Mus musculus: one gene and its partner. The protein of the gene in region 2 interacts with the protein of the main gene of each other region in a pairwise test. Links are inferred from orthologs where the notes say so. Each region holds a gene or a part of one and is shown on either strand. Other genes may lie near its edges.

The links. The genes of interacting proteins can lie anywhere in the genome.
Region 1: the proteins of Keap1 (region 2) and Mad2l1 interact in binary tests that used the Homo sapiens proteins (3 or more experiments, as listed by UniProt). The two-hybrid records come from large-scale screens. The link is inferred for Mus musculus from reciprocal best matches to the Homo sapiens genes KEAP1 and MAD2L1.

What each region holds. Positions count from the first base shown.
Region 1 is NC_000072.6:66,533,124-66,539,149, forward strand, and holds the start of Mad2l1 (mitotic spindle assembly checkpoint protein MAD2A), read left to right. Parts: upstream 1-2,097; 5' UTR 2,098-2,403; coding exon 2,404-2,476; intron 2,477-2,834; coding exon 2,835-2,981; intron 2,982-4,445; coding exon 4,446-4,566; intron 4,567-5,841; coding exon 5,842-5,945; intron 5,946-6,026. UniProt on the Homo sapiens protein: Component of the spindle-assembly checkpoint that prevents the onset of anaphase until all chromosomes are properly aligned at the metaphase plate.
Region 2 is NC_000075.6:21,232,146-21,237,711, reverse strand, and holds part of Keap1 (kelch-like ECH-associated protein 1), read left to right. Parts: 5' UTR 1-2; coding exon 3-641; intron 642-3,638; coding exon 3,639-4,324; intron 4,325-5,566. UniProt on the Homo sapiens protein: Substrate-specific adapter of a BCR (BTB-CUL3-RBX1) E3 ubiquitin ligase complex that regulates the response to oxidative stress by targeting NFE2L2/NRF2 for ubiquitination.

The DNA.
Region 1 (6,026 bases), on a different chromosome or scaffold from region 2:
AAAATTAAAAAAATACTTAAGCCCATATAATAACATTTCTAGTGTGTAAAAATACTATTTTTAAGAAAAAATTAGCAGATTAAAATTTTTCTATGATATTTAAAATAAACCGCTTAGTTTCAAGACCCTTATTTATATATATTTCCAATACGTATGATGCACATATTTTAAATTCTAAAGAGAATATAAATCCGCAGTATATTACAATTCAACATGTCATTCTGCGGTTCACTATCAACACACAAATGCCTAGAAACTATTAATCTCTGTTTTTTCTCCCTTGGTGCACTGAAGCCTTCATTTGCATTGTTTTTCAAAGGTTGCATTGTGTGGTTAAACACTGCCCTCTTCTGGTATCTGGGATTAAATGTGTATCCACACAAAATTCTTTATGGTTTATTACTGCAAAATTTCTTGACAAGTTGTGTGTGTTATTAGTTAATAAGTAAATGTTTTTAGCCCAAATCAAGTAAACTTTTTCTCAAATCATAACCACAACAATAAGGAATCTCATTTGCATTTTTCAAACAAATATGCTATAAAAGGAGACTAAACTAGGGAGTATACATTCTCTAATAAATCTGCCACTAACTAAAAACTGGATCTTGAATTAACTGTGCAACCACTCTAGATCTACTATACTATAATTTGATTAAGTCATTAATGGATTTCTTCAGCCTCAAACTTTATGTGCTTCTAGATTTAGAAAAAAAAAATACTTATTTTAATACCAAGGGGGGGGGTCAATTTCTATTCCTCCCTGTTCAAACATTCTTACCCTAAATAATACACAGCAAGAGTCTACAAAATTGTGAGTCAAAGTAAATATGAGAAACTGAGAATTTTTCAAGTATTTTATAGTATTGCTTTTAATAAATGGGGAGAGAGGTAATGTTAAACCACGCAGTCAAAAGGAAATAGGAAAGAAATCAACCATCAAAGATTCCAGATCTTTTAATGTTTCTGAAATAAATTAGATTAAGTCCAACCACCGTTTGGTAAGAAAGAGCTAGTACCTCACTTTTATCTATACCACCATTTCTTTCCTCCTCATATGTCACAGTTTCTTTCTCTGATGTATTGTTTATACAACTTCCCTGGCATCTGTTTAGTTCAGGCTCTAAACCTTCTTCTTTCTTCTCCTTGTTCTTTCTTCTTCTTCTTCAAAGATTTATTTATTATTATTATTATTATTATTATTATTATTATTATTATATATAAGTACACTGTAGCTGTCTTCAGACACACCAGAAGAGGGCGTCAGATCTCATTACAGATGGTTGTGAGCCACCATGTGATTGCTGGAATTTGAACTCAGGACCTTCGGAACAGCAGTCACTCTTACCCACTGAGCCATCTTCTTAAACCTGCATATGATAGTATCTCTAATAGTCAACTGGTTTCAAAATGCAGTCTGAGTACCAGAGTTAGAACCATTTAGCATAGTTGGAAGATGTGCCATCTCCTGGACACAATACTACTGTACAATATTAAAACTGTAGCATGAATCCCATATGTAATCGTACATGCTCTGGTATAGGCCTTAAACGATCAAAAAGAAAGTACATATGACTAAAAACTTAAAAGCAAGCTAATTGCAAAAAAAAAAAAAAAAAAAAAAAAAAAAAGGAAATCAAGTGTCTCTATCATTTAAATCCTTTGTGGACTTATAAAATCTATGTAGTATAGAAAAATAAAGACATTACTAAATGATTATTAGTGTGTGTGTGTGTACACAATTTGCAGGGGTTCGCTTCTCTACTTGGTGACAAGCATCATTAAGCTTCTGTCCCACCTAGTTCCCTTCATCATATTTAACAAAACCAAAAACCAGGTTCTCCCAGACTTGAAACTATCCTCGAAGCTGAGACCATGCTTCAGGGATGCTCAGACCACGGGTTTGACAGGCAGGTAATCTCAGGACCATCTCTGGGCCGCTTCTAGGTCACCTCATCCGAGGTCCTGCACAGTACGGACCTTGTAGGTCACCAGGACCTGGAACAAGACGCCCCAACCACTCTGCGCTTGCTCATTCGGTCAGCCAGCGAGGGCGGAGCCAGGGCCGGATACAAGTCGCTTTGGGCGGGGCTTTAACCCGTGGTGCAACTGGGCATAGGGCGGAAGAGCCGATGTGGAGCGGAATGTTGAAGAGACCCGGCTCTCTAATGTGGGAGGGGCTTAGGGAACAAAACGGAAGCCTGAGGCGGCCTTAGGGAGGGATTCGGAGTTACAAAGCCAGCCGGAAACTGGCGACGTAGGTGGGGCTTAGGGCTCATTACGCCTGCGCACCGAGCAACCGGCGGGCTGCGTAGTTATTTTTGAACCGGGTGGCGGGGAATAGCTTAGAAGCCATTAGGGCGCCGTCTGCGGTGAGGTTGGTAGTGTTCTCCGTTCGATCTAGTGATGGCACAGCAGCTCGCCCGAGAGCAAGGCATCACCCTGCGTGGGAGCGCAGAAATCGTGGCCGAGTTTTTCTGTGAGTGCTGAGCGCAGCCCCCGCCGCCAGAGAGAGCTGAGGCTGAGCCGGGCCTTAGGACGCGCGCTAGGACGGAACCACGGATCCTCCCGGGGGCGGGGAACGCTGCACCACCCAGCGCAGGCCTGGGCCTCCTGGAACCTAACGGGGCTGACCTGGGTCATCATCTTACTCGCTCTCTGAAAGCTGGGGTCTGTGTTGACATCCTCTGACCACATGCTCTGTATTTACACTTAGCAAACCTGCGAAGTTGGACATTGCTGGGTTAAAGGTTTTCCGTGTCTTTTTGTGCCTACTCTGCTTTCTGGGAGACTTAAACGTTATTACACGGTTACGGCTTTATTTCTTTCGTTTTCAGCATTTGGCATCAACAGCATTTTGTATCAGCGTGGCATTTATCCGTCGGAAACCTTTACTAGAGTGCAGAAATATGGACTCACCTTGCTTACAACTACTGACCCCGAGCTCATAAAGTATCTCAATAATGTGGTGGAACAGCTAAAAGGTAATCACGTTTTCAGTGTGTGATCTTACAGGTTTGTGTCCCAAGTAACTTAAAGCAACATGCCTTCTCAAATGTCATTCTCAACTGGGAGGAAGCAAGCAATGGAGGGAATCCCCACCTCTTTTTAAGTAGGCTGAATGTCTTGATGTTAGGAATCTTTAAGCTGCTTTAAGAGTGGGTTTTGTAGGTTAACCAGTTGCAGCAAATTGGAAATTTTACCCGATTAAAAGGATTTCGCCATTCTGTGTTTTGCTTTGTAGCTCCCAATGAAATCATACAAAATACCAATTCTAAAAGCATTGCAACTGCCTTTTTTTCTCTTTGAGTTTTATTGTACGTGAAAGGGTGTTGTAGTTTGTTTTAATTGTAAATTCATTAACAGTGTTTATTGCTTTTTTTGTTAACTTCAGTATTAAAATGGCCTTTTGGTGGCCACCTGAACATGGTTAGCTTGGCATCTGTCTTTAAGGCCGTTTTGTTTTGCTTTGCTTTTGAGACAGGTCTCTTTATGTAGCTCTGGCTGTCCTTGAACATGCTATGTAGACCCGGCTATCGTTGAACTCACAAAGATCAGCCTGGCTCTACTCCCAAGTTCTGGGACTAAAGGCATTTGCCACTGTGTCCAGTTTAAGGCCAGACTTCTAAACATGCCTTGCTATTTGTATCCATAGTAGAGTATTCATCAACACTTGTGCAGGTTGGATATGAATTCACAGGCAAAAACGGCAGGGCTTTTAAGCATAAGATCTGCTTTGAATTCTGGTATCTGTGGATCCTTTTACCCCCTGCAGCTCACTTACTTGCAAGGATGATAGTTTAGAAACACAAGGCTAATTGGTCACTCTGTCCAAAACACAGTTGTGGCTTTCCTGATTCTTAAAAGTACAGTTTCATTAATTTAACTTGTAAGATTTTATATGACATAGCATCTTGACTTTTCATAATTATGTAATTTATTTACTTTATTGAAAAGAATTTACTTTTCAATTAGTCTGCCCATGTATGCATGTATATACATGTGTGTGTGTGTGTGTGTGTGTGTGTGTGTGCAGGCGTGCATGCATGCCCTTCCCATTTAAAACCTGTATTTGCCTCTCCTTTGTACAGTTAGTGTAAAAACTAATCTTTCCCTCACCTACCAGAGTAGTCCGATTTTTTATGCTCTTATAGTGTCTCTGTTGTGACCAGCCACCACAGATGTGACTGGCGGTGGTTAGATGAGTATATGTCATATGCTCTCACTGGGAATTGCAGAGAAAGTACAGGTTCACGGTTCTGATGCTCTGCCTTCTGCCTATTAGTAATATGGAGAATTTAAAACTCAGCTAAATTATTAGTGGAGAATTGTCTTCCTTATGCAAGAAAGGAAGTTCAATTGTGAGAGTTCTGTAAGGCCGAGAGTGGGTCTTTGGAAGAGAGTCTCTGTCATAGGCTAGAGTCTGAGCGCTGCCTTGTGTGTTGCAGAGTGGCTGTACAAGTGCTCAGTTCAGAAACTGGTGGTGGTCATCTCAAATATTGAAAGTGGTGAAGTCCTTGAAAGATGGCAGTTTGATATTGAGTGTGACAAAACTGCAAAAGAGGAAGGGTAAGTATGAGCTGAGTTATTCCTACCTTAATTTGTTTTTATGTTGTTGCATGAGTTCACATTGTATTGAACTGATTTCTTACAGTTACTGTCTATGGTATGTTTTTAAAGATACTTTTGTTCTTTTGTTAGCTTGTGAGGGATTTCTTTTTTTTTTTTTTTTTTTTTTTTTTGGTATTTCGAGACAGGGTTTCTCTGTATAGCCCTGACTGTCCTGGAACTCACTTTGTAGACCAGGCTGGCCTTGAACTCAGAAATCTGCCTGCCTCTGCCTCCCGAGTGCTAGAATTAAAGGCGTGCTCCGCCTCGCCCAGCTGTGAGGGATTTCTGAGTTCCTCATAGCCTGTCAGGGATTGTGTAGATAAGATACTTTCAGCATACTGCCTTTGGGAAAACCCCATGAGATTAGGCCTTCGTGTTTGTGGTTATACCTGAACCTCTCACAATATAATATATGTGGGCCATGTAATCACTGGCTTAAACGTACAGGAGATGATCCTAGACTCATTCCTAATTTAGATGAAGCTCTACTGTACTTCCCCTATTGCCGTGAACTTTGTAAACTAAAGATTGCAAGCACTCTACATCAGAAATGCCTATCATGCTAAGCATGTGCTTCTGGAAGGTACTGTAATGAAGAGCAGTTTGTTTCTGAAGTCTTCAATCTATAGGAAGTCGTTAGCTTATAAAAACATTTGTATGTAATTTATTTTACCTGATTCAATCAGGAATCCGGTATTTAGATGTTACCTTTAAAAAAAAAAGTCAAAATTTAGGCTGGAGAAATGGCTCAGTGGTTGGGAGCACTGGCTACTTTTCTAGAGGACCCAGGTTCAGTTTCCAGCAGCCACATGGCAGCCCACAACTCTGTTTAACTCCAGTTTCAGGGGATCCCCGGCAACAGGTATGCATGTGGTGCACATAAATGTGCATGTGGGCAAAATACCAAAGTTCTACCAAGTTAATTTGTTGGAATCCATTTTCCTTTATGTTAAAGACTTACTGAAAATATGCTTACTGAGAGTGGTTGGGAAACTTACCATGCACAGAAGGACCAGATACTAAGATCAGCCTTAAAGAATGATGGGAAGGACAGATACAGTAACCCAAGAATATCTTTAGCCATTAATCTTTAGTCTCCTAATGTATTGCATCTGTGTTGTTGGAAGCATTTTGTTCAGAGAGAGTTACCAACGTGTTTTAATTAACTTAATGAAACCTAGAAGGAGTTATTTCTTTGATTTTTTTTTTTTTTTTTTTTTTTTTTTTTTATAGTGTTCGTAGAGAAAAGTCCCAGAAAGCCATACAGGATGAAATTCGCTCAGTGATTAGACAGATTACAGCTACTGTGACATTTCTGCCACTGTTGGAAGTTTCTTGTAAGTATTGTACAACTTAACTTAAATTTGCTGGAGAAAATGTTCATTACCGTTAGGAGGAGCCTACATTTGTTAAATCTC
Region 2 (5,566 bases):
CCATGCAGCCCGAACCCAAGCTTAGCGGGGCTCCCCGCAGCAGCCAGTTCCTGCCCCTGTGGTCAAAGTGCCCCGAGGGGGCCGGGGACGCAGTGATGTATGCCTCCACGGAGTGCAAGGCAGAGGTGACGCCCTCGCAGGACGGTAACCGAACCTTCAGCTACACACTAGAGGATCACACCAAGCAGGCTTTTGGCGTCATGAACGAGCTTCGCCTGAGCCAGCAACTCTGTGACGTGACCCTGCAGGTCAAATATGAGGACATCCCAGCTGCCCAATTCATGGCTCACAAAGTGGTGCTGGCCTCCTCCAGCCCAGTCTTTAAAGCCATGTTCACCAACGGGCTTCGGGAGCAGGGCATGGAGGTGGTGTCCATCGAAGGCATCCACCCTAAGGTCATGGAAAGGCTTATTGAGTTCGCCTACACGGCCTCCATCTCCGTGGGCGAGAAGTGTGTCCTGCACGTGATGAACGGGGCGGTCATGTACCAGATTGACAGCGTGGTTCGAGCCTGCAGCGACTTCCTCGTGCAGCAGCTGGACCCCAGCAACGCCATTGGCATCGCCAACTTCGCGGAGCAGATCGGCTGCACTGAACTGCACCAGCGTGCCCGGGAGTATATCTACATGCACTTCGGGGAGGTGAGTGAAGCCGGGCTTTGGGCTCAGAAGTGGGATAGGCCAGCGTGGCGTTCTCCCCTGCGACAGGCTGGAGGAAAACTGTTGGGTGTTTTCTTTTTCCTTCCTTCTTTTCTCCCATAGGGTCTCATGTAGTCCAGGCTGGCCCTAATCTGGTTGGGTATCTGAGGATGACTTTAAATTCCTGATTCCTGTCTCAGTCTGTCGAGTACTGTAGTTACAGACGTTCGCCCTCCCAATACTTAATAGAATGGAGGCCAGCAGTGCCCCGGAACTTGATTTTACTTTTGTTTTTAAATCTTTTTTAAAAAATTATTTGCCTTTAGTTTCTGTGGATTGGCGTTTTGTCTGAATGTTTGTCTGTGTGTGAGGTGTCAGACCTTGGAGTTACAGACAGTTGTGAGCTGCCATGTGGGTGCTGGGATTTGAACTCGAGTCTTCTGGAAGAGGCCAGTAGTACCCTCAACTGTGAGCACCTGTGGTCTTATTTTTTGACAGTATTCTTCTTCTTCTTCTTCTTCTTCTTCTTCTTATTATTATTATTATTATTATTTTGGTTTTGGTTTTTCAAGGCAGGATTTCTCTGTGTAGCCCTGGCTGTCCTGGAACTCACTCCGTAGACCAGGCTGGCCTCGAACTCAGAAATTAGCCTGCCTCTGCCTCCCAAGTGCTGGGATGAAAGGCGTGCGCCACCACACCTGGCTTGACAGTCTTCTTTAGCTGAAGCTTTTTTGTTTTATTTATTTTTGTTTTTCAGGACAGGGTAACAGTCCTGTCTGTCATGGACCTCAATGTGTAGACCAGCCTGGCCTTGAACTAACAGAGATCTTCCTGCCTTTGGGAGTAAAGGCCGCATGTGCCACCACACCTGGCTATTGAAGTTGCTTTTTGTTTTGTTTTGTTTTAAGTCCTGTCTTTGCTGTCACTTTCTGAGTGCTGAGTAACACCAAACTCTGAAGAAGTTAAAAAAAAAAAAAAGATTATATTTATTTGTGTGTGTATACATGTACTGATCTTGTGTGCAAGTCGGAGGACAAATTGCAGGAGGTGGCTCTCGCTACCTTATATACGTTTCTAGGTTAAACTCAGGTAGGCCTGGCAGAAAAGTGCCTTTACCCACAAAGCCACATTGCTGGCCCAAAAACTCAGATTCTGAGCCCCTAATCCAAATACAGAGAGCCCTTAGGAATAGGTAAAGATGTGCCCTCCCAGTGCCTCAGCAGCCTGATCTCCCTGGGGTTAAAAGTTGTGATGGCCAGCCTGAGCTACACAGCGAGACTCTGTCTAAAAAAAGTGGTGTGTGTGTGTGTGTGTGTGGTGGTGGTGGCGGCACTCAGGAGGCAGAGGCAGAGGCAGGCAGATCTCTGAGTTCATGGCTAGCCTGATCTACCAAGGGAATTCCAAGATAGCCAGGGCTACAGAGAGAAACCCTGTCTTGATCTCCTCCAGAGCAGGGCAAAGTGTGATGAGCAGGCAGGCACCAGCACCCGCCAGCCTCACCCATGCAGGCTCCAGCTTTGCTTGGCTTTCCCTGGGTTCACTTGGTATTGCTTTCATTTTCGTTTCTCAGTGCAGGAAGTCTGCAAGAGAAAGTAATGGGACAGTGCTGGGGAAAGCCTTGCTCTTGGGTGGCAGTGACTAGAAAAGTCCCCTGGACACGACTGCATTCTGAATATCACCAACTCTGAAGTGCACCCAAGGCTTTTGAACACCATGTGCCGTCCACACCTGACCTCACCAGATGGGTGGCAGTGACCGCACAGGCACACTGTGCATAGGGCATACCATCTTCAGAGGGCCCATGTGCTGCTGGATTGCTAGGACACTTTCCCAGCATGCGTGAAGCCCTGGGTTCCATGCCCACCTCACATAAACCAAGTGTGGCTGTGCACACCTTTAATCCCAGCACTGGGTAGGCAAAGGCAGGCAGATCTGTGAGGCCAGCCTGCTCTACATAAAGTTCCAGGCCAGTTACACACAGACAAACACACACACACACACATACACACACACAGAGAGAGAGCCTTGAAGCTGTGTAAGGTCAATATGGACCAGCATAAAAGTAGTTTGTTTATTTATTTAGATTTTTGAGATAGCAGGTTGTCATGGCCCTTGGCTTTTGTCTGAAACTCAAGATTCTCACATGTCAGGTTCCCAAGTGCTGAGACTTGACATGGGCCTTGATGGCTCGAGTGAAGTTGTTTATACCATACTCTTATTCCTTAGGTGTCTCATCATTTGTGTAAAATATTCCTACATCTGAAAAAAAACAAGTGCCAAGCTGTAAACTGCCAGTCATTTTATGTTTTATTTTTATTAATCTAAAAATTGTATTGTATTGTATTGATTTAGGGGGCAATGTGTGTGCCACAGTTCATGTGGAGGTCAGAAGACAACTTGCAGGAGTTGATTCTTCCAGCATATGAGTCCTGGGGTTAAATAAACAAACAAACAAATAAACAAATTAAGAACCCAGTGCCTTTCTGAGCTAGTAAAGGCACTCACTGCCAAGCCAGAAGACCAGTCCCAGGAAGGTGAGACCCCCCCCCCATCAGACATGAGTACATTCACACACATACACAATAAGCCAATAAGTAAATGTAATTAAAAACTATGTAGAACAGGTGGCCTGGAACTCACAGACATCTTCCTCTCCCTTCCAAGTGAATATTAGTCCAATGCTGGGATTAAAGGCCAGACTAGGTTCAATTGTTTATTTTGATATAAGATCTTACTATGTTGTCCTAGCTGGTCTGGAACTGGCTTATGGGGACCAATCTGGCCTTGAATTCAGACATCCTCTTGCCTCTGCCTCCCCTGATATGGGGGATTATAGGAGTGTGCCACTACACCTAGCTATATATATATTTTTTTAAAAAAATTAAAACTAAAATCAATACAGGAGCCTAAAGAGTCCACAGTGTGTGGCCTGTGTGACCCCCGGTGTATGGGTGCTCGGCCTGGATGGAGGGCTTCCCTTCTCACCTGAGCTCCCTGCAGGTGGCCAAGCAGGAGGAGTTCTTCAACCTGTCACACTGCCAGCTGGCCACGCTCATCAGCCGGGATGATCTGAACGTACGCTGCGAGTCCGAGGTGTTCCACGCGTGCATCGACTGGGTCAAATACGACTGCCCGCAGCGGCGCTTCTACGTGCAGGCACTGCTGCGGGCCGTGCGCTGCCATGCGCTCACGCCGCGCTTCCTGCAGACGCAGCTGCAGAAGTGTGAGATCCTGCAGGCCGACGCGCGCTGCAAGGACTACCTGGTGCAGATATTCCAGGAGCTCACGCTGCACAAGCCCACGCAGGCAGTGCCCTGCCGCGCGCCCAAAGTGGGCCGCCTCATCTACACAGCGGGCGGTTACTTCCGACAGTCGCTCAGCTACCTGGAGGCCTACAACCCGAGCAATGGCTCCTGGCTGCGCCTGGCCGATCTACAGGTGCCGCGCAGTGGGCTGGCAGGCTGCGTGGTGGGTGGGCTGCTATACGCTGTGGGCGGCCGCAACAACTCTCCGGATGGCAACACTGACTCCAGCGCCCTGGACTGCTACAACCCCATGACCAACCAGTGGTCGCCCTGTGCCTCTATGAGCGTGCCACGCAACCGCATCGGGGTGGGGGTCATAGATGGCCACATCTACGCAGTCGGGGGTTCCCACGGCTGCATCCACCACAGCAGCGTGGAGAGGTGAGCACCGGGGGCCCAAAGAGACGGTACCTGTTCTTGTCCCTGCCTTCATATGAGGTTGAGCGGCTGGGATGTTCATTCTCAGTGTCCAGAGTTGGGAAGTACTGGAGGGGGCTGTCCCAAACCTACAGGAACCACCGCTGCACACTGGGGGTAGTAGGAATTACTCTAATACGTGAATTATATTGTGCAATTTATAATTACTTTAAAAGGTATCATCTGAACGGGGATGTAGTTCAGTGGTAGTGCTCTGGTATCTTTCTTTTTAAAAAGATTTTATTTATGTGTATAAGTACACTGTAGCAGTCTTCAGACACACCAGAAGAGGGCGGCAGATCTCATTATGGGTGGTTGTGAGCCACCATGTGTTTGCTGGGATTTGAACTCAGGACCTTCCGTTGGTACTCTTAACCACTGAGCCATCTCTCCAGTCCTCTGGTCTCTTTCTTGAATCCAGGGTTTAAGGTCTCATCCCCAGCCCTGCCAAAAGGAAGGAGGGAAAAGAAGAAAAAGGGCTGGGGGTGTGACTCAGTTGGCAGAGCACTTGCCCCGCGTTCAGGAAGCCCTCATAAACCCAGCTGTCATCCCAGCGCTCTGGGGGTAGAGGGAGGAGAATCAGGAATTCAATATTTATCTTTGGCTGTATGGCAAGTTCAAGGCCAGCCTGGGATATAAGAGACCCTGTCTCAAGACAGACAAACAACCCCCCCACACACACACACACAAATTTAGGGCTTGGAGCAAGGGTAAGAAAATGAGAAAAAATTTTAATTTTGTATTTGTAGTGCTGGGAATAGAACCTAGAAATCTATGCTTGCTAGGTCAGCTGTCTACCCCAAGCTAACCCCGCCCATGCCTGAAAATGGAAATGTAAACAAATGTGCTAGGGGCTCTAATGTGTGTGGTCTGTGAATAGGGTGGCCCCTTCAAGGACTGTAGGATGCAGGGATGGACTGGACGCTGCTGGGCTAATGGGGCGTGTTCACCCATCTCTGATCATGTTGCTCAGAGAACCACCTGGGAGACCCAGTTAGACATTTGGAGTTGAACACCTGCCCAGATGTCACTTAGTGACCCTGGATGTCCTACCCCACATGTCTGTAGCAAATCTTGTGGTGTGAGGCAATGAATCCTGCTAGGGGTGAAGTGCACAGGTGCTGCAGCCCTAAGGGGTAAAGCCGTCTAGGCTAGAGGGAATTGCTGTTGCTGTCAGTCATAATTGATGACAGTGAACCTGGATTC